Arabidopsis thaliana: one gene and its partners. The protein of the gene in region 1 purifies or fractionates together with the protein of each later gene. This does not show direct contact. Each region holds a gene or a part of one and is shown in the gene's direction. Other genes may lie near its edges.

Region 1 (5,131 bases):
TACTCCTTCTTTGGAGTGCTTAGACATTGAAGATGGTAGGGGTGGTTTTTGTGTCATTGAGAATAATATGACTAAGGTTGTGAAGGCAAATGTTTGCAATTCTTATGTACATACGCAGCAGCTCATGGGTTCTATTTCTTCCGTCAAGCGTCTCTATGTATGTATACCATCCTCTAAGGTAATATGTTTCTATAGTTCTGTTATCTACATATATTATTGGTTTCTTTGTGATCAAATTACTTATGTAGTGTCTCTTATGCAGGATGCTTATCCTGTTGGTAGTGTCTTCCACTGTCTTGTACGTTTAACGATATGCACATGTGAGACAGAGTGGCTAAATCTACTTATGTGTGTACTCAGAGATTCCCCTAAATTACGAGAACTCAAACTTGTTAAGGTCTGCAGATCTAAACCTGAATTATTCAGTCTCTATGATATATCAGCATATATTTTCAGTAGAATAACAGTGTGATGATATCTTACTTTTATCTTAGAACCATGTCTATCGATCTCATCAACCGCGGCCGTGCTGGAATGAACCGAGTGCAGTTCCTGAATGTCTGTTGACAAGTCTTGAAACTCTCGAATGGGTAAAATATGAAGGAACAGAAGAAGAGAAAGAAGTAGCGGCATTCATCTTAAGAAGTGGAAGCTGTTTAAAGAAGGTGACTATCTCCTCTAAATCCACTGACATCAACAAGAAATTTGAGATGCTCAAGGAGTTGTCATTGTTGTTCAGGCGTTCACCTACATGTCAGATTGCATTCGACTGAAGTTTAGTTCAGTCTTCTTCATTAGTCAAGTTGGTCTGTGTTTGATCCAATCTTATAGACTTGTGTTTTCTCTTCTTAAAGAAACTAGTTTTCCCTAGAAACTTATGTTGCTCAAGTTTTTATTCTTTTGACGTTGTGTATTCTTATGTCTTATAACCCTTTTGAGTTTTTATCTTATTTAGCTCTGCTTCTCACTGCATATTCTTCGACAAGCGAAGAATGACGTTCTAAAATGGTCAATGAACTTAGAGACATTTTGGTCTTTTTGTTTAGTGTAATCCGTTATGAGCTTGGATTTAGGTAGATGGAAATATGAATTGACCACGTGTAATCATTTAGAGCAAAATGATATTGCAAATGGTCTAATGGACTCGGATACGCAAGAGGTCGTGGCAATGGCTAATCACATCTCCTTATATCTTTAATGTGTTAAATATGACATTGTGGCTTCTTATTATTATAACCCGTTTGCCTTTTCAGTTTCACACAAATGGCAACAAATCCTTATGGCTGCATATGTTTTCAATTTGGATCTCTTTAAACTCAAAACAAGTATTAAGGCAATCTCTATGATGTTTTGTAAGTACCTTGAAGAGGTCTTTTGTAAGTTGTAACCTTTTTTATGTAGGAGAAGAATCACATCTTCACCTTTTGAGTTTTTGACTTGTTCTTTCCAAAATTTGCACTTTTCAATTGTTGCAATGGCCAATATTAATGATGTGACCCAATCTATTTGTATAGCCGAAAGAACCCAAAATACAAATGGTTTTTTTTTTAAAAAAAGTTTTTTTGCTGAAAATATATTCTTTTTTTAGAAAATTTATGTTCATAATTAGTTATTGGAATCCTAAAGTGGCATGAAAAATGCTTAGAAACAAGTGGGCATTAGGAATCAGTATGAGATTCTTTAGAATTTGTGTTTGAAAACAATTTCTCTTTTCGACTCCTTCAATGTTAAGTCCTACATGACACGTAAGCTGTGAAAGCTACGAGCAGAGACGATTTTAGCCATCAACCAAACGACACCGTTTCTAAACAATATTTATTTTTGTATGTTTTTAGTGTAACAAAATTACAATTGAAAATTCCAAATTTCGAGAAAGAGAGAAGACCCATCGCCGCACCGCTTGAGTCACTCTTCTTCCCGGAGAAGAAAGAAACAACAACAAACATATTCACCATTACCTTCTTCTTCTCCTCCTTCTCCTTCGTTTCTCACTCCAAATTTGGAACCCTAAATCCTAATATCCTTCGATTAGTTCTCTTCTCTATCGGAATTCTTAACGTTGAGAGGAGTCTGATATTTGCCGTGACTCAAGAGATTCCAGGTGTTTCCGACGTATATATTTACATATGGCGTCGTTGGCTCTGACTTCTCCTCCCTCCGTTAAGATTCCTTCGTATCTCTCCTCGTCGTCTTCGTCTCTCTTCTCCCGTTCCTCGATTTCTTTCAGGACCACTGAGTCTCGCTCTCGAATCTGCGTTTCTGGTTACGCGGTGAGCATTGAGCATTTTTTTTCCTTCATGTTAATGAATGAATTCGATATTCACATTGCGTTTCATGTATTTGTTATAAGAAAATTCAAATTGTTTTTGGATGAATCTATGCTTTGATGATCTGTGAGATTTTTCTGGATTTAGTAGATGCTATTAGCAGTTCGTTTACAGGCTAATTTTGTGAGAATTTGTGTGTTGTCGTCGCTCTTGGCTTGACTTTGTCCATGTATGTGACTGTAGAATTTGGAATTTGGAACTTTCAGCTTTGGAATCTTGTGTGTTGAATACTGTTCATGAATGTTTGGTTATTCTTATGTTTGTAGAGAGATGTAAGAGAGATCGTGTGTTGGTTAAATTTTGTGTCTAACATTTTGAATTTGGTTTCACAATTCCTTGTCATTGTGTTTGATAGAAATGCAATTTGCCTAAGGCACTAAACGGGAACGCTCGTGTTCCAATTATTAATGAGACGACAATTCCTAAGTTCTTTGATTCTTCACGGTTGGAGAAATCGGTTAGTAGAAACAATACTAAGCTCAAGTTGTTCTCTGGTACTGCTAATCCAGCTTTATCTCAGGTAGTTTTCTCGAGACCTTTGGTTGTCTTTTTTAATCAAGTTTTCTTCTGGTGAAGTATATGCTAAACTCTTGGAATTTTGTGAAGGAAATTGCTTGGTATATGGGTCTGGAGCTTGGGAAGGTTAGCATAAAGAGATTTGCTGATGGAGAGATCTATGTTCAGCTCAAAGAAAGTGTTAGAGGTTGCGATGTCTTTTTGGTGCAGCCTACTTGCACTCCAACTAATGAGAATCTCATGGAGCTATTGATCATGGTGGATGCTTGCCGAAGAGCATCAGCTAAGAAAGTCACAGCTGTGATTCCGTATTTTGGATACGCAAGAGCTGATAGAAAGGTAGGTTCTTTTTGTCTTCTTCAATGGTAGATACAGTATGTCAAGTAATTTCATCTGATGTATCTATTGATGTTTTCAGACACAAGGGCGTGAATCTATTGCTGCCAAATTGGTAGCAAACCTTATAACAGAAGCCGGTGCAGATAGGGTTCTGGCTTGTGATCTTCATTCAGGACAATCCATGGGTTATTTTGACATACCAGTGGATCATGTCTATTGCCAGGTATCTTAAGTTTCAACCTTTTTGATAGACAAGCCTCTACTTTTTATGCAACCTTTAAAATCTTACACAATTGTGATTACATTTCAGCCTGTGATACTTGATTATCTTGCTAGCAAGTCAATTTCCTCTGAGGATTTGGTAGTGGTTTCTCCTGATGTTGGTGGAGTAGCCAGGGCACGTGCATTTGCTAAGAAATTATCTGATGCACCACTTGCCATTGTCGATAAAAGGCGTCACGGCCACAATGTCGCTGAGGTAAAAATTTAAATTTACCTTCATTTTATCCTTTCTACACGCAAGTTCTCATGTGTTGATAATACTCTTTCCCACAGGTCATGAACCTAATCGGTGATGTTAAAGGGAAGGTGGCAGTAATGGTGGATGATATTATTGATACAGCTGGTTAGTAAAAATTGCCAGAAACTCCTCTTTCCGTTGATATGTTTGTTATAAACAAAAGCTTCCAAACTCTAGGCCATAATCGAGATATTACTAAATAGAGATTATTCTGTGATTTGCAGGCCATACATTACTAAGAACCAGTTTTTTATCTTCTTATTTACAGGAACCATTGTGAAAGGAGCAGCTCTTTTACACGAGGAGGGTGCACGTGAGGTTTACGCTTGCTGTACACACGCTGTTTTCAGGTAAACCCATTAGCTTGAGTTTTACCAGTTCTTCTCCATTTTCGTTTATGAAACTAAGAGACCGTTTTCTTGAATGAATCAATGTCACAGTCCTCCTGCGATAGAGCGGTTATCAAGCGGTTTGCTGCAAGAAGTGATAGTGACGAATACTTTACCAGTAGCGGAGAAGAATTACTTCCCGCAGTTAACGATATTATCGGTGGCTAATCTTCTGGGTGAGACCATTTGGCGTGTCCATGATGATAGCTCCGTTAGTAGTATTTTCCTTTGATACTTGTTGGTTTTTGTTAATCGGTTTAGGATCGGTCTAAGTTCCTCTTTTTTGTTCTACTTCTTCTCGACAGTTTCTAGTCTAACCATGTCTTGCTTCTCTTACTCACCTAAAGTATGTCACAGTTCTATCTTTTCTTCTTTTTAGCATAATAGAGTTATGAGATATCAATGACAATAAAATTTTAATATTTTGGTTTATTGAAAATAATTACATTATGGTGTAAACATTATTTCTCAGGATTTATTGAGAATTTCTAAATTAACAATTTCCCCAACTTGCATATTTCTGGCAATAAATAGTTTTGGCATTTTATGAAATAAGTGACTAATTTTTATGGTTTAGTGTTCTTTCTTCGGTTAACCAATTTTTATTGCAAAAAAAAAGGAACAAATTAGGGTTTTATCAAGCCCGTCGTTGCATATAAATAGTCTTTTCATCGCCGCTTGAAACAGATAAGTGTTTCCTTCGTCTCTCTGTGGTCCGATATGTCTCCCTATAATCTCTGTTTCATAGTTTAATCATATTCTTTTGTGGTTTTGAATTCTTATGTTCGAAAATCTTGAGTAGTTGCTGTGATGTAACTACCGTGTGCCAGAGATGAAGTTATTCATCGTTGACGGCAAACATAACCTTAGAGTTCTAAGCTTTTCTTTTGTTCTATTTTTTGGTGTGTGGTCGAAGTGACGATAAAGAATTCACAGTCTGTCAATCCACTGACAACATTTGAGTGATGTTATTGTGATATCTCGACAGGTTCTGATCTACTCTTAATAAAAACCCTCCCAATGATTTTTTTTTATTAGAT
Region 2 (4,833 bases), on another chromosome or scaffold:
GAAGATTGAAAATGTTCCCATATAGATGTGACTGTCACTTTCTTTAAACACTTTGCATTAGCAAAAATGTATCTTATGAGCTGTGTCTCTTCTTCGTTTCCTCTATATCCATGCCACACAAACTCCTCATCTAAATGAGCCGACAAGCATCTGGGAACAGTACCTTGGTTGGTACCATGACAATGGGAGATTTCCGGGTCGATATCCACTTACCTGGATGCAAGTACATAAAAATCTATGAGGTGGAATCAAAGAATCAGTTTATACAACAAGGAGATTGCGTTGTTACTTGTTACTTACAGAAGTGATAGCAAGAAATCTTAGTTTAGGAGAGTTGTTGAGAATTAGTGGAATTATATCCAACCAGAGATGGCCATGTGGACATATCACTAATTTTCCAAGTCGAGTGAAGGTAAAGCCACGAAAATCCAGAGCCTTCAATGACTAAATCAAAAGCCAATATAAATCAATGTGATCAAACCTAACAGCCAAGAAGAAAAAAAACAATAATAATAAAAAGGATAGATACCATTGGATCTTCCAAAGGTAACACAAGATACGTGACCAAGGAAATAGCTTTGAGAAACTTGTCATCAGTATGACATACAACGTCGATATGTGGCTTTTCAAGGCGAAGCTTATGCACCTTCGCGAAACGGTAGTCCCGGTTATCACTGATGGCGAGGCCCACTTTCGATCGGGCAAGAACTGAGCAACTTGATATAAGCCTCTCTAGAGAATTTTCATCTTTGAACACCACATAAAAAAGGCGTAATATGTTGAGTGACGGGAGGCAAACCGAAGAAGGAACATCCACTATAATCTTGTCCGAAAGAGTCAATTCCACAAGTGTTTTGCATGTGTAAAGACTCTTAGGCAAGCTGGTAGGCTCTGCCGTCCAGTGGAGCTCTAACTCTAGCTTGCGCACAAAGCGATCAACTGCATTTGCAACTAATTTCCCAACATCTACCTCAATAGAAAATTTTTACCGAGTTGGATGCACAAAGTTTCTAGAAAAGGTGCCTTGTGAAGTTCCAATAACTTTTCAAGAAACTTCCACACGCTTTCGCATTCATCACCAGGATCACTGTACTCGAGTTTAGGCAACAACGTCCAGACATAACGCCATCGTTTTGACAATATCATTGTCCCAACTGCATCTTTGATCGGTACAAGCAACAAAATCTGGATAAGCAAATCGTCGGGCAACGAACTGATCTCGTCTCTAGAAGCAACAACCTCTTCATCAATTCTTTGACAACGTTCGGCCATTAGTGATGTAATAGCTAGCTGAGTTTGTGATAAAGATTTCAAATATAGGTAAGCAGAGACGAGGAGGAGCAAGTCGAACCCTAAAAACTTTAGATGATCGAGAACCTTAGATATATTCGTAATTTCTCTATGAGAAATTGAGAATAAGTGAATAACTAACTCTTCTTGTCTCACAAAAATAAAACCCTAACTTATCTTTTCCGTGAGACATAAACAAACCCACTTTGGGCCAATAAAATCGGCCCATTATTATCTTGACCCAATCCGGATCAAACCCAACTCCATACTTTGGAGTTTGGACCCATCGTTACCAATGTAGTAGACTAATGTAGTTAAGATATATATAATAGAAGGGCCTATTTATAAAATACAAGAAATGTTACCAAAGCATAAACCCTAAAAGCCCTAAAATCTTAATATATAAACCAACTCACAGAGACTCTAAAATCAGCCACCACCGCACATCTCTCTCCTTTGCCCTCGTTTTTTTTCGGTTCTCGTCTTTCGTTCTTCACTTTTAGACAAGCAAATATGAGACCCCCAGTTACAGGTAAGAACCTTAGTTAAAGTTTATGTCTTTCTTGTTCTGTCTGCCTCTAGAGTATAACCCTGTCCGTATCAAATCTGAATTCGTATCATTACGGTTTCTGTAGTTTGAATTGGTAGTTAGGGTTTTAATTCATGAGCCTTTTGTATCTTCACTGTTTCAATAAAGTTCAAAGATAAAAGTAGAGATTTTTAATAACACTCTGTTCTTCCGTTTAGTTAATTTTCTGTATGTTGGTATTGTTATAATCAGGAGGACGTGGTGGTGGAGGATTCAGAGGTGGAAGAGATGGTGGTGGAAGAGGTTTTGGAGGTGGAAGAAGCTTTGGAGGAGGCCGTAGTGGTGACAGAGGCCGTAGTGGGCCTCGCGGCAGAGGACGTGGTGCGCCTCGTGGTCGTGGAGGACCACCTCGTGGAGGAATGAAAGGAGGAAGCAAAGTGATTGTTGAGCCTCACAGACATGCGGGAGTGTTTATTGCTAAGGGTAAAGAAGATGCTCTTGTCACTAAGAATTTGGTTCCTGGTGAAGCTGTTTACAATGAGAAGAGAATCTCTGTTCAGGTATGAAGTTTGAGGATTGTTTTCTTTATAATTAAATTGAGTTTGTTTTTGTTCTTATATTATAGCTACTTCACTTTTGCAGAATGAAGATGGAACTAAGGTTGAATACAGAGTTTGGAATCCGTTTAGATCTAAGTTAGCTGCTGCAATTCTTGGTGGTGTCGACAACATTTGGATCGTAAGTCCATCTATACACATACCACATTGACTCTGTTTTCTTTTTTTGTATTGAAAGACATGTGCTTGAATTGGTTCTTTGTTAAAACTTTTGTAGAAACCTGGTGCCAAAGTTCTTTACTTGGGTGCTGCTTCTGGGACCACTGTCTCTCATGTTTCTGACCTCGTTGGCCCTGTAAGTCTTTCACTAAATTATTATTTTAGTTATCCGTAGGTCCATTTCTATCCTATGTTTGAGACTTATCTTTGTTCTATTGCTTTATGATTTGTAGGAGGGATGTGTTTATGCTGTTGAGTTTTCTCATAGAAGTGGTAGAGATTTGGTGAACATGGCCAAGAAGAGAACTAACGTTATTCCAATCATTGAAGATGCTAGACATCCGGCTAAGTACAGAATGCTCGTGGGCATGGTTGATGTCATATTCTCTGATGTTGCTCAGCCAGATCAGGTTTGGTTCTATATTTCTTACTATGAAAGTTTGAAGTTACCCTTTCTACAGTTTTATTCACAAAGGTTACGTCATATTGCATTGCATCTTTTGCTTTTAAAATATCAGTTCATTGAAATCGGCATATGATGACATTTCATTTACTATGAAATGTTTGAAGCCTTTTTATTTTACAGTTATATCTTCAAAGTTTTTTTTTATTGCATTGCATCTTTTGCTTTTAAAAAAATCAGTACAATGAAATCGGCAGATGATGATTTTACTTGGATTCCCCTTCAGAACATTTATGGGTGTTGCAAACTCCAAGCTTCTGATGCTACTTTGTATCTTTTTACTAAAATTTTTTACTTTGAACATGCAAATCTGTTTTAATCTCAAAGTTTTTATTTGTCTTCATTTGGTATATCTTATCGATTTGGAAGAAGTCTTTTCGGTTTCTTCTGGTTTTCAACAATTGCATTTTCAAGTCATTTAGAAGTTTTACTTTATTACTAAACTTGGAGACTCAATTGTTGTAGCAATATTGCTGAGCTAGCAGAGATTGCTCCAAGAAATCTGCAATGATTCCATAAATGTTTCTATGTTTATGTTAATGTCTCTCTTTATTCTCATTTTGGTTCTCTGTTTATGTTTTATTTAATTGAATCCATCTATTTGCCTAACTCTTGAAGGCAAGAATCTTGGCCCTGAATGCCTCATTTTTCCTCAAAACTGGTGGACACTTTGTTATCTCAATCAAGGTCAGTGCTCTTATCCTTAATCAAATTCAACAATGTTCTCCTCTGTTATTATTCAATTTGTATTTCCGTCGCTAAATAAACATGTCTCATCTGTTCAGGCCAACTGTATCGACTCTACAGTTGCAGCAGAAGCAGTCTTCCAGAGCGAGGTGAAGAAGCTGCAACAAGAGCAGTTTAAGCCAGCAGAACAGGTGACTCTCGAGCCGTTTGAGCGTGACCATGCCTGTGTTGTTGGTGGTTACCGCATGCCGAAGAAACAAAAGACCCCAGCCTCATAGAGGAACTGTGGACAGTAGTGCCTGTGTATTAAGACTTATTTACTGGGTTTTGTTTTTATCTCCTTGCTTGTTGTATTAAGCTAGAGATGGATAATGCTTTTATGTCTCATTTGGAAAATTTTATCCTCGTTTTAGAACTAATATATATTGATGCAACATTTTCGTCCAATGATTGTATCTCCATCAGTCTTTTCTATGCTTGTTTTTGCTTGGCTATAAGAACTACTGTCCATTTTAATCCTACTTGTTTCTGCATGCTGAATTGATTGTTGAAGTAGTTTGTTTTGAACATGATTATGCTCAAGAAAAGGCGTAAAAGTATCACTTAGCTCTGAAAGGAACTCATTTTTTTTTGGTTAATAAAATTTTAAACACAAACAAACCGACTAAGTGTTATTGACATAAGTCTCAATACAGTTTCAAGTAATATTCGGCTTCTTCCACTATTGGATCAAAGTTATAGGCGCCTTCTTCCATCGGTAGCGCATTTTTAAGTATTGCCAATTGGCGTGACCAATGAAAATAGTAAGTTTCAAAAGAAAACGGGTAATCAGCAGAGGTAGAATCATTGTGGCGTCTCAAATCTTTAATTTTCTCAAAACAACGCTTCTCTAGATTCCCGACAAGGTTGATACATTGGCGTAAATCGAGGTGTTCCAGGTGAGGACAACCGTCAAGAATGGCGTTTAAGCCTGTTTTGGTTAGTTTGTTCCCACAAAGCTGGAGATGGCGTAGTTTAGGCATGCTTTCTGCAATTGCTATGGCATCATGATCATCATCATCCGAACTTAAGTAAAAGAGGCGGTTTAG
Region 3 (4,872 bases), on another chromosome or scaffold:
ATCAAACTTAAAAGTTAAAATAAGTACCTCTGGCTCAGTTTTCTTTGTGCCCAGCTGCGGCTGCACATCTGGCTTGTCAACAGGCTTTACACCTTCTGCAGCTTTTTTTGAATTAGAATTTGTTTCCACCTTAATGGCAGGTTTTGGTACCTACGTTTAGAATAAATGAAAAAGATCAGAAAACCATTTTCTCATCGCATGTAATACATCTGAAAAAAGTAGCATGTTATTATTGTTTCTCAGTCTAAGAAAATGGGTATGAAAAGATAATTCACCTCGAAGCTAAATTCTGGTAGCTTCACAGGTATTGGTGCAAATAATGTCGACAACTCTTCTTTATTCTGTAAAATAATACGCAGCATATATTCGTAAAGCAGACAATCACAAGGAAAGAAAAATGTGAAAGGTGATGTTCAGAGAGTGCATATCTAGCTATAGTCACTAACGCCGTTACGCGTACACATAAAGTAGTCCTCCATGGATTTACAGGCTACCTCGGCGCAATCAAGTAACAAAACTTTATGATGTCGAACTTACCTGGATGTAATTCACCCATCTTATGACATGTGGTACTTTCTCCTTGTCTGAATCTGAGAGGCCAAGCTGGGAACAGCAAGTCAAACAGATAACAGTTAGTATTTAATACCTTTAGTCATCAGTTTATGAAAATTTGATCGTAGCATCTTTATCAAGTAACATAAAATTACTTATACAGGAACGAAAAATAAGTAGACTACGGAATATAGAGAAGTGGTACCACTGAAGAATGCAGAGCTGAAAACACAGCAACATCAGCTGCCGATGGCGTCAATCCGTTTCCCAAGAGCACTGACTTGGTAGCTAACTCTAAATTCAACTTTTCAAGAGCTGAAAACCAATCCTTTGAATCTGAAGAGAAACCTTCCGCAAAATCTAGCCACTTCAAAACCTGAAATAGGTTTTTACTCTTTAAAATGTGAAACAATGACGCATTATGCAAACGAAAGCCAACGAATCCTCATCATTTAGCATTACACAGAACTCAAACATACTAATTCATTTTTTTTCTAACGTGGTAGCAACGAGAAGGGAACTCAATAAATTCCCAGTAAGAGTTTGGCGTTTATGTCTATAGGAACCAAATTCAAGAAGAAACGACTTACATCGTTGTTTTGTGCAGATACTTCCTTTCCAGATGCCTTCAATACATTAGAATAAAGTGTCTTGATATCACTTTCACCCGCTCCGCCCACAAAAGGTTCCTAAACAAATGAATCAAATCAATTTCAGAAACAGAACCAATAAATCATCACAATGTAAAATCATAAAAGCCAATTTCTAAAGTTTTTTCCTTTTTCATGACCAGCTTGATGCATAAGCGTAAACACTGATAAGTCCAAAACATAAACTTTCTAATTGATTTCAGTACCCAATCAGATAATGTTCGAGTTTTCTCCACTAACTAATTCAAAAAATGATCATACACATACTCAGCTACCAAGCAAAACCTCACAAAAAAGCAGAAGCTTTTGAGATGTCATCTTCTTCAATACTTACAGGATCCAAAGAGAAGTGTTTGCAGAGAGCTGAAAGAATCATCTGCTTCGCCTTTGAATCCATCGTCAACTTCTTCTCTTTCTCTATTTTCGAAATTTTGTTCTTCTCTTTGGGGCTCTTCGCTGTAAGAAAACACACTGCAATTTCTTCGATAGGGTTTTTGCTTGATGTAACTAACGGTCCTAACGGACTTCCAACTAACGGCGTTATCTCCATCTATAATGGGCCTAGATATATTAGCAGCCCATTAATATGTTCTTACTATGGGCTTTACCACCGAAAGCAATCATTAATAAAATAAAATAAATGAATTAACTTCTCAGATTCTTCAAAGACCTAGAGTGTCTTCGTCTTCGACGACGGCAAATTCGTGGAAGCTGTTTCATCGATTCCGGCTTCACTGAAGCGGCGTCGCTCGACGTTTATTATTCCGACGACTAGGCCTTTGAGGCAGTTTCTGATTAACTTCAGGCGATAATGGCAAACAGAACAGATCCGTTGGCAAAGAATATAAGAGGAACGAATCCGCAGAATCTGGTAGAGAAGATTGTGCGAACGAAGATTTATCAGCACACCTTTTGGAAGGAGCAGTGCTTTGGTCTCACGGCGGAGACATTGGTGGACAAAGCTATGGAGCTCGACCATCTAGGTGGTACCTTTGGTGGTAGCCGCAAGCCTACTCCGTTCCTTTGCCTCATATTGAAGATGCTTCAAATCCAGCCTGAGAAGGAAATTGTCGTGGAGTTCATAAAAAATGATGACTACAAGTAAGATTTCTAACCAAAAGCTTATTTCTGCGTAATCTAGATTGGATACTGCTATTAGCCTTGTCGTAGTTGTTTCTCAAGTATACAGGTATGGAATGTCTCTCAAATCTATTGGTCTTAGATAATCTACTCTCTTAGTTTCTGCAGATATTTGTTCTTGAATTACTGAAATATTTACTCTTTTGGTTTCTGCAGATATGTTCGTATTCTTGGTGCGTTCTATCTGCGTCTCACTGGGACTGATGTTGATGTCTATCGCTACCTCGAACCTCTCTACAATGACTACCGGAAAGTGAGACAAAAGTTATCTGATGGGAGTAAGTTTCATTTTCTTTCGATGGATCCGTTGTGTTTAACTTTTGATTGATTTGTTCACTAACTAGATTTATTTCTTTGGTTTGGAATAGAGTTTTCGCTGACACATGTGGACGAAGTCATTGAGGAACTTCTAACCAAGGATTATTCTTGTGATATTGCAATGCCACGTTTGAAGAAAAGGTTTCTTCTTTTGCATTTGTCTGAAGCTGAATAATTAGTTTTTGGTTTCTGCAGTATTTTAAGATGGTTAATTTTTCACTCTGATGATAGGTGGACGCTTGAACAGAATGGTTTATTAGAGCCAAGGAAAAGTGTTTTGGAAGACGACTTTGAAGAAGAGGAAGAAAAGGAGGAGAATGAAGGGATTGCTGATGGATCTGAAGATGAGATGGTCAGTGCTTTCATTCTGCAATAGTTTTTATGTGATCTGTTTTCTGTTTCTATCTAGCAGCTCTAAGATGATACCATCTTCCTCCTCTTTTACAGGATCAGCGCCGTAAGAGTCCTGAAAGAGAAAGAGAAAGAGACAGAGACAGGAGACGCGACAGTCATAGACACAGGTATCTGAATCCGTGACCTTTACTAGATACATTTCTATGCTAGTTAACATTTTTCAAAAAAAAATTCTTTGTGATTGTGGAAGCTGTTTGATCTAGCTAATGCTCTTGCATCATGTCTAGTACTCTGTCTTTTGAGTGTCTGTTTCCACTATGGCATCTCAAGCCATCAGCGGTTGGATACAGCTTCCGAAATTAAATTTGTAGAGATCCTTCCAGGTTTCTCTGTACTGACAGTGTTCAGAGAGAAGTATTATGGATCAGACATTATTACAATCCTTACCCTGATACAGTATATGGTAGTTGTCATTGTGTTACTTTGAAAAAGATCAGTTAATCATGAGAGCACTTCCCATCTAGTTTTTAGCTCAATCAATGTTTTCTTTTTGTTACAGATTTTCATTATGATTGATGTTGAGACTTGAGCTCATTGTTTCATGAATTATAATTTGACCATGGTTCTGTGATTGGCAGGGATCGTGATTATGACAGAGACTATGATATGGATCGAGATCATGACAGAGACTATGAAAGAGAACGTGGGCATGGTCGAGACCGGGATAGGGAGAGAGACAGGGATCACTATAGAGAGCGAGATAGGGACAGGGAAAGAGGCAGAGATAGAGAACGAGACAGAAGAGACAGGGCAAGGCGCAGAAGTAGAAGCAGGAGTAGGGATCGTAAGAGACATGAAACTGATGATGTGCGGGATCGGGAAGAACCTAAGAAAAAGAAAGAAAAGAAGGAGAAGATGAAGGAAGATGGAACCGATCATCCAAATCCTGAAATTGCAGAGATGAATAGACTGAGAGCATCACTGGGAATGAAACCCCTCAGGGACTGAACTGTGAAATGAGGACATCTTTATCAAACCGAAACTTGGTTCATTTGCCCAGCTAAACCGGTTACTACACTGTGATCCTACTCACTATAGTTTTGGTTTTTTTGAGTTTACCTGATCCCTCTTTAATGTAGAACAAAATGGAGAATCTGTAATGGCATTGTACTGTATGTTCTCTAAACCGTAAACGAATTGTGGTCGAGAAATTCTGAATGTAACCCGGTTCTTGATATTAGTTGTTTTTAAGGTAATTCAGATAAATATAAAAACCTATATGTTATGTCTACGTGGCGATATCACTTTATGAGTCCATGTAAATCGGACCCACCAAAAGCTTATAGGTAAATGATACGGTTTCATAATCATTAACCATCACGACGCGCGTGCTACTCATGTCCCACTTACGACGACGTCGTTTTAAACTCTCTCTCTGTGCTCTTCCAGTCTCTATCGATCGCCTTCTGAATTTTCCGGCGGAAAAGCAAATGTCCGTTAACGACAGTATCGATCCTCGGTTCGTATTCCACGTTGAAGATGAATCTTTGCGTTTCCGTGTGGGAGATTCAGGTACTAAGATCCGGGAGCTCGAAACCGTCGGCGATCGCCATTTCAGAACCCAGCAAGGTTTCTGCGGAAATAGAATTGAGAAAGATGAAACCATGTATTCCGATGGAGATGATGAAGAGTACGACGTTTCTATCCGAAGACGAACTGCTCTGATTCAGCCTGGTATTGATTCCGGTAACAATTATGATTCTGCTGCAGCTGAAGAAACCAACAGAGAAAGTAAAAATCCAGGTATAATAATACTCTACATTACTTCTTTCACGACTACCGGAGATTCCAAGATTGT
Region 4 (5,676 bases), on another chromosome or scaffold:
TGAGCTTTGGAAAACAAAAAAACTTAGTATCTATTTTTGATTGTTCGGTATTAATAAACAAATATTGTATCTAAACTCCATCATCCCACTGTGGAAGCAACATGCCGAGAAGAAAGGTCTTAGAAGCTCTCTGTGTTGTTTTCCCAGACTCCAAACTAAACCCGTCTAGCCCGAATCAAAACTTTGGTTTCTAGTTTGGGATGTCTTTATCAAACCACAGTAAATCGAATCAAACCAAAAAACGCAGTTCCATTAATGATCAAACTAGATTACCACCGATGTTGAACCAAATTTAGAGAAAAACCGGACCGCACTTAATTCTACTCGGAAATAAATTGCGACTTTCTTTGATTCACACAAGAAGATAAACCTACTATGTCTATGCCAATGGCTGTAGGATTTTACATGGTCTACTCACTTCGAATGCTTTAACAGTTAAACAAAATCGAGTAGAATATACTGTTCAGTGGTGGCTTTCTTTGATGACGTCGTTGGGTTTCAACTTTCTATGGTGTTACCATCAGCTTCAGCCATCTCACGTTCTTTCTCTTGCTCCTCTGCAATTAGATGATGAAAGTGCATGTGTTAGTTCCATAATAAACAAACACCAACAGATCACTCTATTTTGGACTTCTATGATTTGGTATCATACTACCAACAGATTCAGTGAAATGTTACTCACTTACTCACGAACCACAGACTAATGTCTTAATTATCAAGCTTACATAGAAGATATCAGTATGTAGATACAGTTGCCACTTACCCATGAGTTTATGCATTGCCTTTTGAGTCCGCCTTTCGAGCTTATCAAGCTTCTTCTGCACATCTCTTCGGAGGTCCCAGTTTGGCTTCTTTGGAGCGATGTTAACAAATGGGTCCTACAATGATAACATTTTTTGTAAGCTTAAGAGGCACAAGTAAAGGAAACAACAATGCTAAACAGAGTCGCTTTTGGTGATCCTTGTACAGAGAAAAGAAAAACTGTCACACACACCTCTTTCTTCTCTACAGCAGGTGGAAGTGCAACGATCGGATCTTCGAATTTGGGTAGCTCTGGTGGCGCTAGTTTACCATCCTGAAGCTCCTTAGCTTGGGGAACATAGTTTCTAAACTTCATGGCTGGACCACTGTAAAATCAAAGACAATTCATATGAATAAAAAGGGAATCTACCTCGAATAATCAATCAACAAAACCAACCACCTAAGCAAAGTATACACAACAATGCAACTTGAAATTGGAAAAAATTGTTAGGTAACAGATGCTGCAAGAGCACCATTATTGATTCTCTCACAAACAGTGATAGTAAAGGCGAGAAGCAAAGCACAAGAGAAGCTCCTAGTTATGCTAAAGCCAACACACAACATTAACAACTCCATGTGCTAGTCAAGACAAACAAAATAAGCAAAGAACAAAGCAAACTCACTCTTCTTCGACAGCTTCATCCTCTCCGTCTTCCTTGGTCTCAGACAGTTCCTGAGCTGCCCTTAGAGCTTTAAGTGCCTCTTTACGAGCAGCAGCTTTTTGTTCAATCGATTCATCTTCACTAGCCATTATAACTTCCTGCAAAATTAGGTTATCGACGTAAACATCGAACACTAGCCCAGCTTCTTCAAACACTAATCACACAACTACAGAGTATAACCCTAAACAACACGCAAAATCGTGATTTTCAGGATCCACGGAACTAATCAGATGAAGTTTTAGCAAAATCAGAGCTATACTATGAAATAAAGTTGAAGAGAAGTATGGAAAACGCTATCTACCCAGAAAATCAACGAGAAAATTTGAAACCGTACCTTGAAGCTTCGAGCTCTATAAATTCGAGACAAATTTGTTGAATACCACAGAGAAACAAAGGGATTAAAAAAGAAAAACTATTAAGGGGGAAGAGAACAATAAAACGCCCACGTATTAATATTATAAACGGGCCAGATTAAAATATCCATTCAGTCAGGCCCATTAATCTTAAAACCTAAACCCTAACTATGGAAGTTATAGAAATACCCCTTACAATACGCGGCGTTTTAAGAAGGCTCGGCTCGTCTTTAACTGCTATAACAACACACTCTTAAAACCCTAAGTGATTGTCCGTCTCCGTCTTCATCTTCTTCCTCTCTCTCACGCAGCTGCTTTGATTAACTCTTCAGGTATTTAATATCTCTCATCTTCTCTCTTCACGGTGTTTCACTTTTCCATTCTTGCTGGAGATTGTGGAGTTTCGAATACTCATACTCGGACAGAGTTTTAAGGCTATTGTAGTTTATCTCTCTGTTTTTTCTTCTCCTGTATTTCTTATGTGATCTAAAAGTAGGATTAGGGTTTATATGGAATGCTGTTTCTCGCTAGTTTTTAATCTCAAAACGAACTTTTAGTTTAATTAGTGTGACTCGGACACGTATCTTTACTGTTCTGAGTTAAGTGTTGTCTTAATTTTCTCTTCAGGTCCAGCTTAAGAGTTTTGTGAAGATGGTCTTAGTGCTATACGAGACAGCGGCGGGGTTTGCCCTCTTTAAAGTTAAAGATGAAGGAAAGATGGCTAACGTCGAGGTGAGTTCTCTTCATTCTTTTGTACTCTCTTTGCTTATCCTTAAGGCTCTAAAAGTATTCATGGATTATTTTTTATTTTTTTTTGCAGGATTTGTGTAAAGAGTTCGACACTCCAGACTCAGCACGAAAGGTAATTTTTTTGCTTCTTCATCAAGTGTGGTTTCAGAACATCTAAAATTAGATTTAGTGTTGAGTTTCTCATATGTTTTTATTGGTGTACCAGATGGTTAAGCTAAAAGCTTTTGAGAAGTTTGACAATACATCTGAAGCTCTCGAAGCTGTGGCTAAATTGCTGGAGGGAGCTCCAAGCAAAGGTCTGCGCAAGTTTTTGAAAGCTAATTGTCAAGGTGAAACCTTGGCTGTGGCTGATTCAAAGCTTGGGAATGTTATCAAGGAGAAACTGGTTTGTAATTCCCATCATTACACCCATATTCCTGTCTGCTCTGTGTTTTGTTTCTAATGAAAGTTCTTAATTTCATACAGAAAATTGATTGCATTCACAACAATGCTGTTATGGAGCTTCTACGTGGTGTTAGAAGTCAGTTTACTGAACTCATATCTGGGTTGGGTGATCAAGACTTGGCTCCTATGAGCTTGGGTCTGTCTCACAGTCTCGCCAGATATAAGCTAAAGTTTAGTTCTGACAAGGTATCTTCGGTTCCTGACTAATTGTATTGGTCTTTTTATTTGGTGATATGATATGTGAAGTATATGAATTTGTTAATTGATCGAAGCTAACTTGTGTTAAATTATGGAACTTCTGTATTGAACTAGCCTTTGATTGTCCGACATTAAACGTTTCCTGTGTTTGTTTTTGCTTCTCTTGCATCTCCTAACTGTTTAGTTTTTGTCAGGTGGATACCATGATTATCCAAGCTATTGGTCTGCTTGATGATCTTGACAAAGAGCTGAACACATACGCCATGAGGGTTAGAGAATGGTATGGATGGCATTTTCCCGAGCTTGCTAAGATCATATCAGACAATATCCTATATGCCAAATCTGTTAAATTGATGGGAAACCGAGTTAATGCTGCTAAGCTAGACTTCTCCGAGGTAACTTTCAATTTTGTAAACTGTGTAGAGGCTTCCATGAACAAACGCCTTGATTAACGACCTAATATTCTCCTGTTTCTGGTTTCATTGTAGATCTTAGCAGATGAAATTGAGGCAGATCTTAAGGACGCAGCTGTGATATCCATGGGAACAGAAGTCAGTGACTTAGACTTGTTGCACATCCGTGAACTCTGTGACCAGGTTCTCTCTCTTTCTGAGTACAGAGCTCAGCTTTACGATTACCTAAAGAGCAGAATGAACACTATTGCTCCCAATCTGACTGCCCTGGTAGGAGAGCTTGTTGGTGCTCGTCTTATTTCCCATGGAGGTAGTTTATTGAACCTCTCCAAGCAACCTGGGAGCACGGTTCAGATACTCGGAGCCGAAAAAGCTCTCTTTAGAGCTCTTAAGACAAAACACGCCACACCCAAGTACGGTTTGATTTTTCACGCATCTCTGGTTGGTCAAGCAGCACCAAAGCACAAGGGAAAGATCTCGCGGTCTTTAGCTGCTAAAACTGTTCTTGCTATTAGGGTTGATGCTCTTGGTGATAGCCAAGATAACACTATGGGCCTTGAAAACCGAGCTAAGGTAACAAAATTCTTCAATAGCTTTCCTCTTGTTGGTATCTCTCTGAACAATCTTTTTTCCTCCTTCTTAACTGATGATGTTTCTGATATGTGTTAAAAACTCACAGCTTGAAGCGCGGTTGAGAAATCTTGAAGGAAAAGATTTAGGTCGTCTGTCTGGTTCATCTAAAGGCAAACCTAAGATTGAAGTCTATAACAAGGATAAAAAGATGGGATCAGGCGGTCTTATCACTCCTGCTAAGGTCACGATCATTCTCTCTGTTTTTGATTCATCATCTTTTCTTCTAATTTTGGATGTGTGTACATATTGTCTTTGTTCTTGGGATTATGATGAAGTGATCTTGACTGTTTTTTGTTATGTGCAGACTTACAACACTGCTGCAGATTCTCTTCTTGGGGAAACCTCAGCTAAATCTGAGGAGCCATCAAAGAAGAAAGATAAGAAAAAGAAGAAGAAGGTAGAAGAAGAGAAACCCGAAGAGGAAGAGCCATCAGAGAAAAAGAAGAAGAAGAAAGCTGAAGCAGAAACTGAAGCCGTAGTAGAGGTTGCAAAGGAGGAGAAGAAGAAGAATAAGAAGAAGAGAAAGCATGAGGAAGAAGAAACAACGGAGACACCAGCCAAGAAGAAGGATAAGAAAGAGAAGAAAAAGAAGAGTAAGGACTGAGGGAGAGAAACCGATTTTGAGAAATCTCTTGAGTGTAAGATTAATAACTGTTTTTGTTGAATTGCATTTTATCTAGAGGAATAGGTGTTTTAAGATGAAACTTAAATTTTCTGAAATCGTCATTTTGAATGATGGATTCATATTTAAATCCTTTTCACCCGAACTTTATTTTTGTTCTAGCCTTCCAGACTCTAGATTATTAATTTTGGAACTCTTTTTTCAATTTATAGTTTGTAGTTGTACAATATTCTTCTTGCATGATTTATATATATCTGGAAGAGGAAAGAATTGAAGAAAAATAATATATTCTGAAAAAATCAAATAGTTTTTTGCTACTAAACGTGTCTGTAGATTCACCAAATAAAATACTCTTTGATTTTGTTTTGATTTTAAAGATTTTTTACAGGCGTTAGTATCTTTTTCATGATCGTATTTCTCTTTGTTGACTATGCATGTTTATCTTTGGTTATTGTCTGGCAAGATTTTAATCAAATTAATGAGGTCAATAAAATTAGTATATCGTCTACAAGAATACATAGTAGTTAGCAATAATGCTGGGAATGAATGAATAAATAGATAATATATGTAGCTTTAAGTCATAAAAGAAATAAAATGGCTAATTCTAAAGGACAGACGTAAATCATTAGTTCCTTAAGCTTTTGTTCCTTGTTTGGTTTACAATAGAGTCTTGATAAAGGAGCTTCTTTGATTGGATAGATGAAGTAAACTCTCATTACATACCATATTTCTTATTTTATTTGTTTTTCCAATTCCTATTTTAATATTAAAAAAAACTCTTAGTGTTTATTTTAATAATA

What was found.
Region 2: the proteins of PRS2 (region 1) and FIB1 fractionate together in Arabidopsis thaliana (co-fractionation; one large-scale study listed by BioGRID). This does not show direct contact.
Region 3: the proteins of PRS2 (region 1) and AT2G40650 fractionate together in Arabidopsis thaliana (co-fractionation; one large-scale study listed by BioGRID). This does not show direct contact.
Region 4: the proteins of PRS2 (region 1) and AT3G05060 fractionate together in Arabidopsis thaliana (co-fractionation; one large-scale study listed by BioGRID). This does not show direct contact.

Annotation. Positions count from the first base shown.
Region 1 is NC_003070.9:11,679,907-11,685,037, forward strand, and holds PRS2 (phosphoribosyl pyrophosphate (PRPP) synthase 2), read left to right. Parts: upstream 1-1,827; 5' UTR 1,828-2,126; coding exon 2,127-2,270; exon of another isoform or gene 2,271-2,682; coding exon 2,683-2,847; intron 2,848-2,933; coding exon 2,934-3,182; intron 3,183-3,261; coding exon 3,262-3,405; intron 3,406-3,492; coding exon 3,493-3,660; intron 3,661-3,737; coding exon 3,738-3,807; intron 3,808-3,970; coding exon 3,971-4,052; intron 4,053-4,142; coding exon 4,143-4,323; 3' UTR 4,324-4,614; downstream 4,615-5,131. Other genes in the region: AT1G32375 (F-box/RNI-like/FBD-like domains-containing protein), read left to right, coding at 1-178, 263-397, 495-773.
Region 2 is NC_003076.8:21,292,487-21,297,319, forward strand, and holds FIB1 (fibrillarin 1), read left to right. Parts: upstream 1-1,660; 5' UTR 1,661-1,803; coding exon 1,804-1,822; intron 1,823-2,071; coding exon 2,072-2,379; intron 2,380-2,461; coding exon 2,462-2,557; intron 2,558-2,653; coding exon 2,654-2,731; intron 2,732-2,828; coding exon 2,829-3,005; intron 3,006-3,249; exon of another isoform or gene 3,250-3,323; intron 3,324-3,676; coding exon 3,677-3,745; intron 3,746-3,843; coding exon 3,844-4,023; 3' UTR 4,024-4,333; downstream 4,334-4,833. Other genes in the region: EDA41 (FBD, F-box and Leucine Rich Repeat domains containing protein), read right to left, coding at 1-208, 297-435, 530-970, 1,063-1,272; AT5G52480 (RNI-like superfamily protein), read right to left, coding at 4,432-4,833. UniProt on the Arabidopsis thaliana protein: S-adenosyl-L-methionine-dependent methyltransferase that has the ability to methylate both RNAs and proteins. Involved in pre-rRNA processing.
Region 3 is NC_003071.7:16,962,738-16,967,609, reverse strand, and holds AT2G40650 (PRP38 family protein), read left to right. Parts: upstream 1-1,811; 5' UTR 1,812-2,013; coding exon 2,014-2,303; intron 2,304-2,498; coding exon 2,499-2,620; intron 2,621-2,710; coding exon 2,711-2,801; intron 2,802-2,891; coding exon 2,892-3,012; intron 3,013-3,107; coding exon 3,108-3,181; intron 3,182-3,652; coding exon 3,653-4,022; 3' UTR 4,023-4,324; downstream 4,325-4,872. Other genes in the region: AT2G40660 (Nucleic acid-binding, OB-fold-like protein), read right to left, coding at 28-150, 276-341, 538-603, 758-928, 1,143-1,241, 1,537-1,599; AT2G40640 (RING/U-box superfamily protein), read left to right, coding at 4,412-4,817. UniProt on the Arabidopsis thaliana protein: Probably required for the first pre-mRNA cleavage reaction catalyzed by the spliceosome.
Region 4 is NC_003074.8:1,412,356-1,418,031, reverse strand, and holds AT3G05060 (NOP56-like pre RNA processing ribonucleoprotein), read left to right. Parts: upstream 1-1,975; 5' UTR 1,976-2,148; intron 2,149-2,443; 5' UTR 2,444-2,467; coding exon 2,468-2,548; intron 2,549-2,636; coding exon 2,637-2,678; intron 2,679-2,771; coding exon 2,772-2,951; intron 2,952-3,031; coding exon 3,032-3,196; intron 3,197-3,402; coding exon 3,403-3,603; intron 3,604-3,696; coding exon 3,697-4,194; intron 4,195-4,300; coding exon 4,301-4,435; intron 4,436-4,558; coding exon 4,559-4,858; 3' UTR 4,859-5,165; downstream 5,166-5,676. Other genes in the region: AT3G05070 (Cwf18 pre-mRNA splicing factor), read right to left, coding at 499-557, 764-878, 995-1,127, 1,425-1,552. UniProt on the Arabidopsis thaliana protein: Required for 60S ribosomal subunit biogenesis.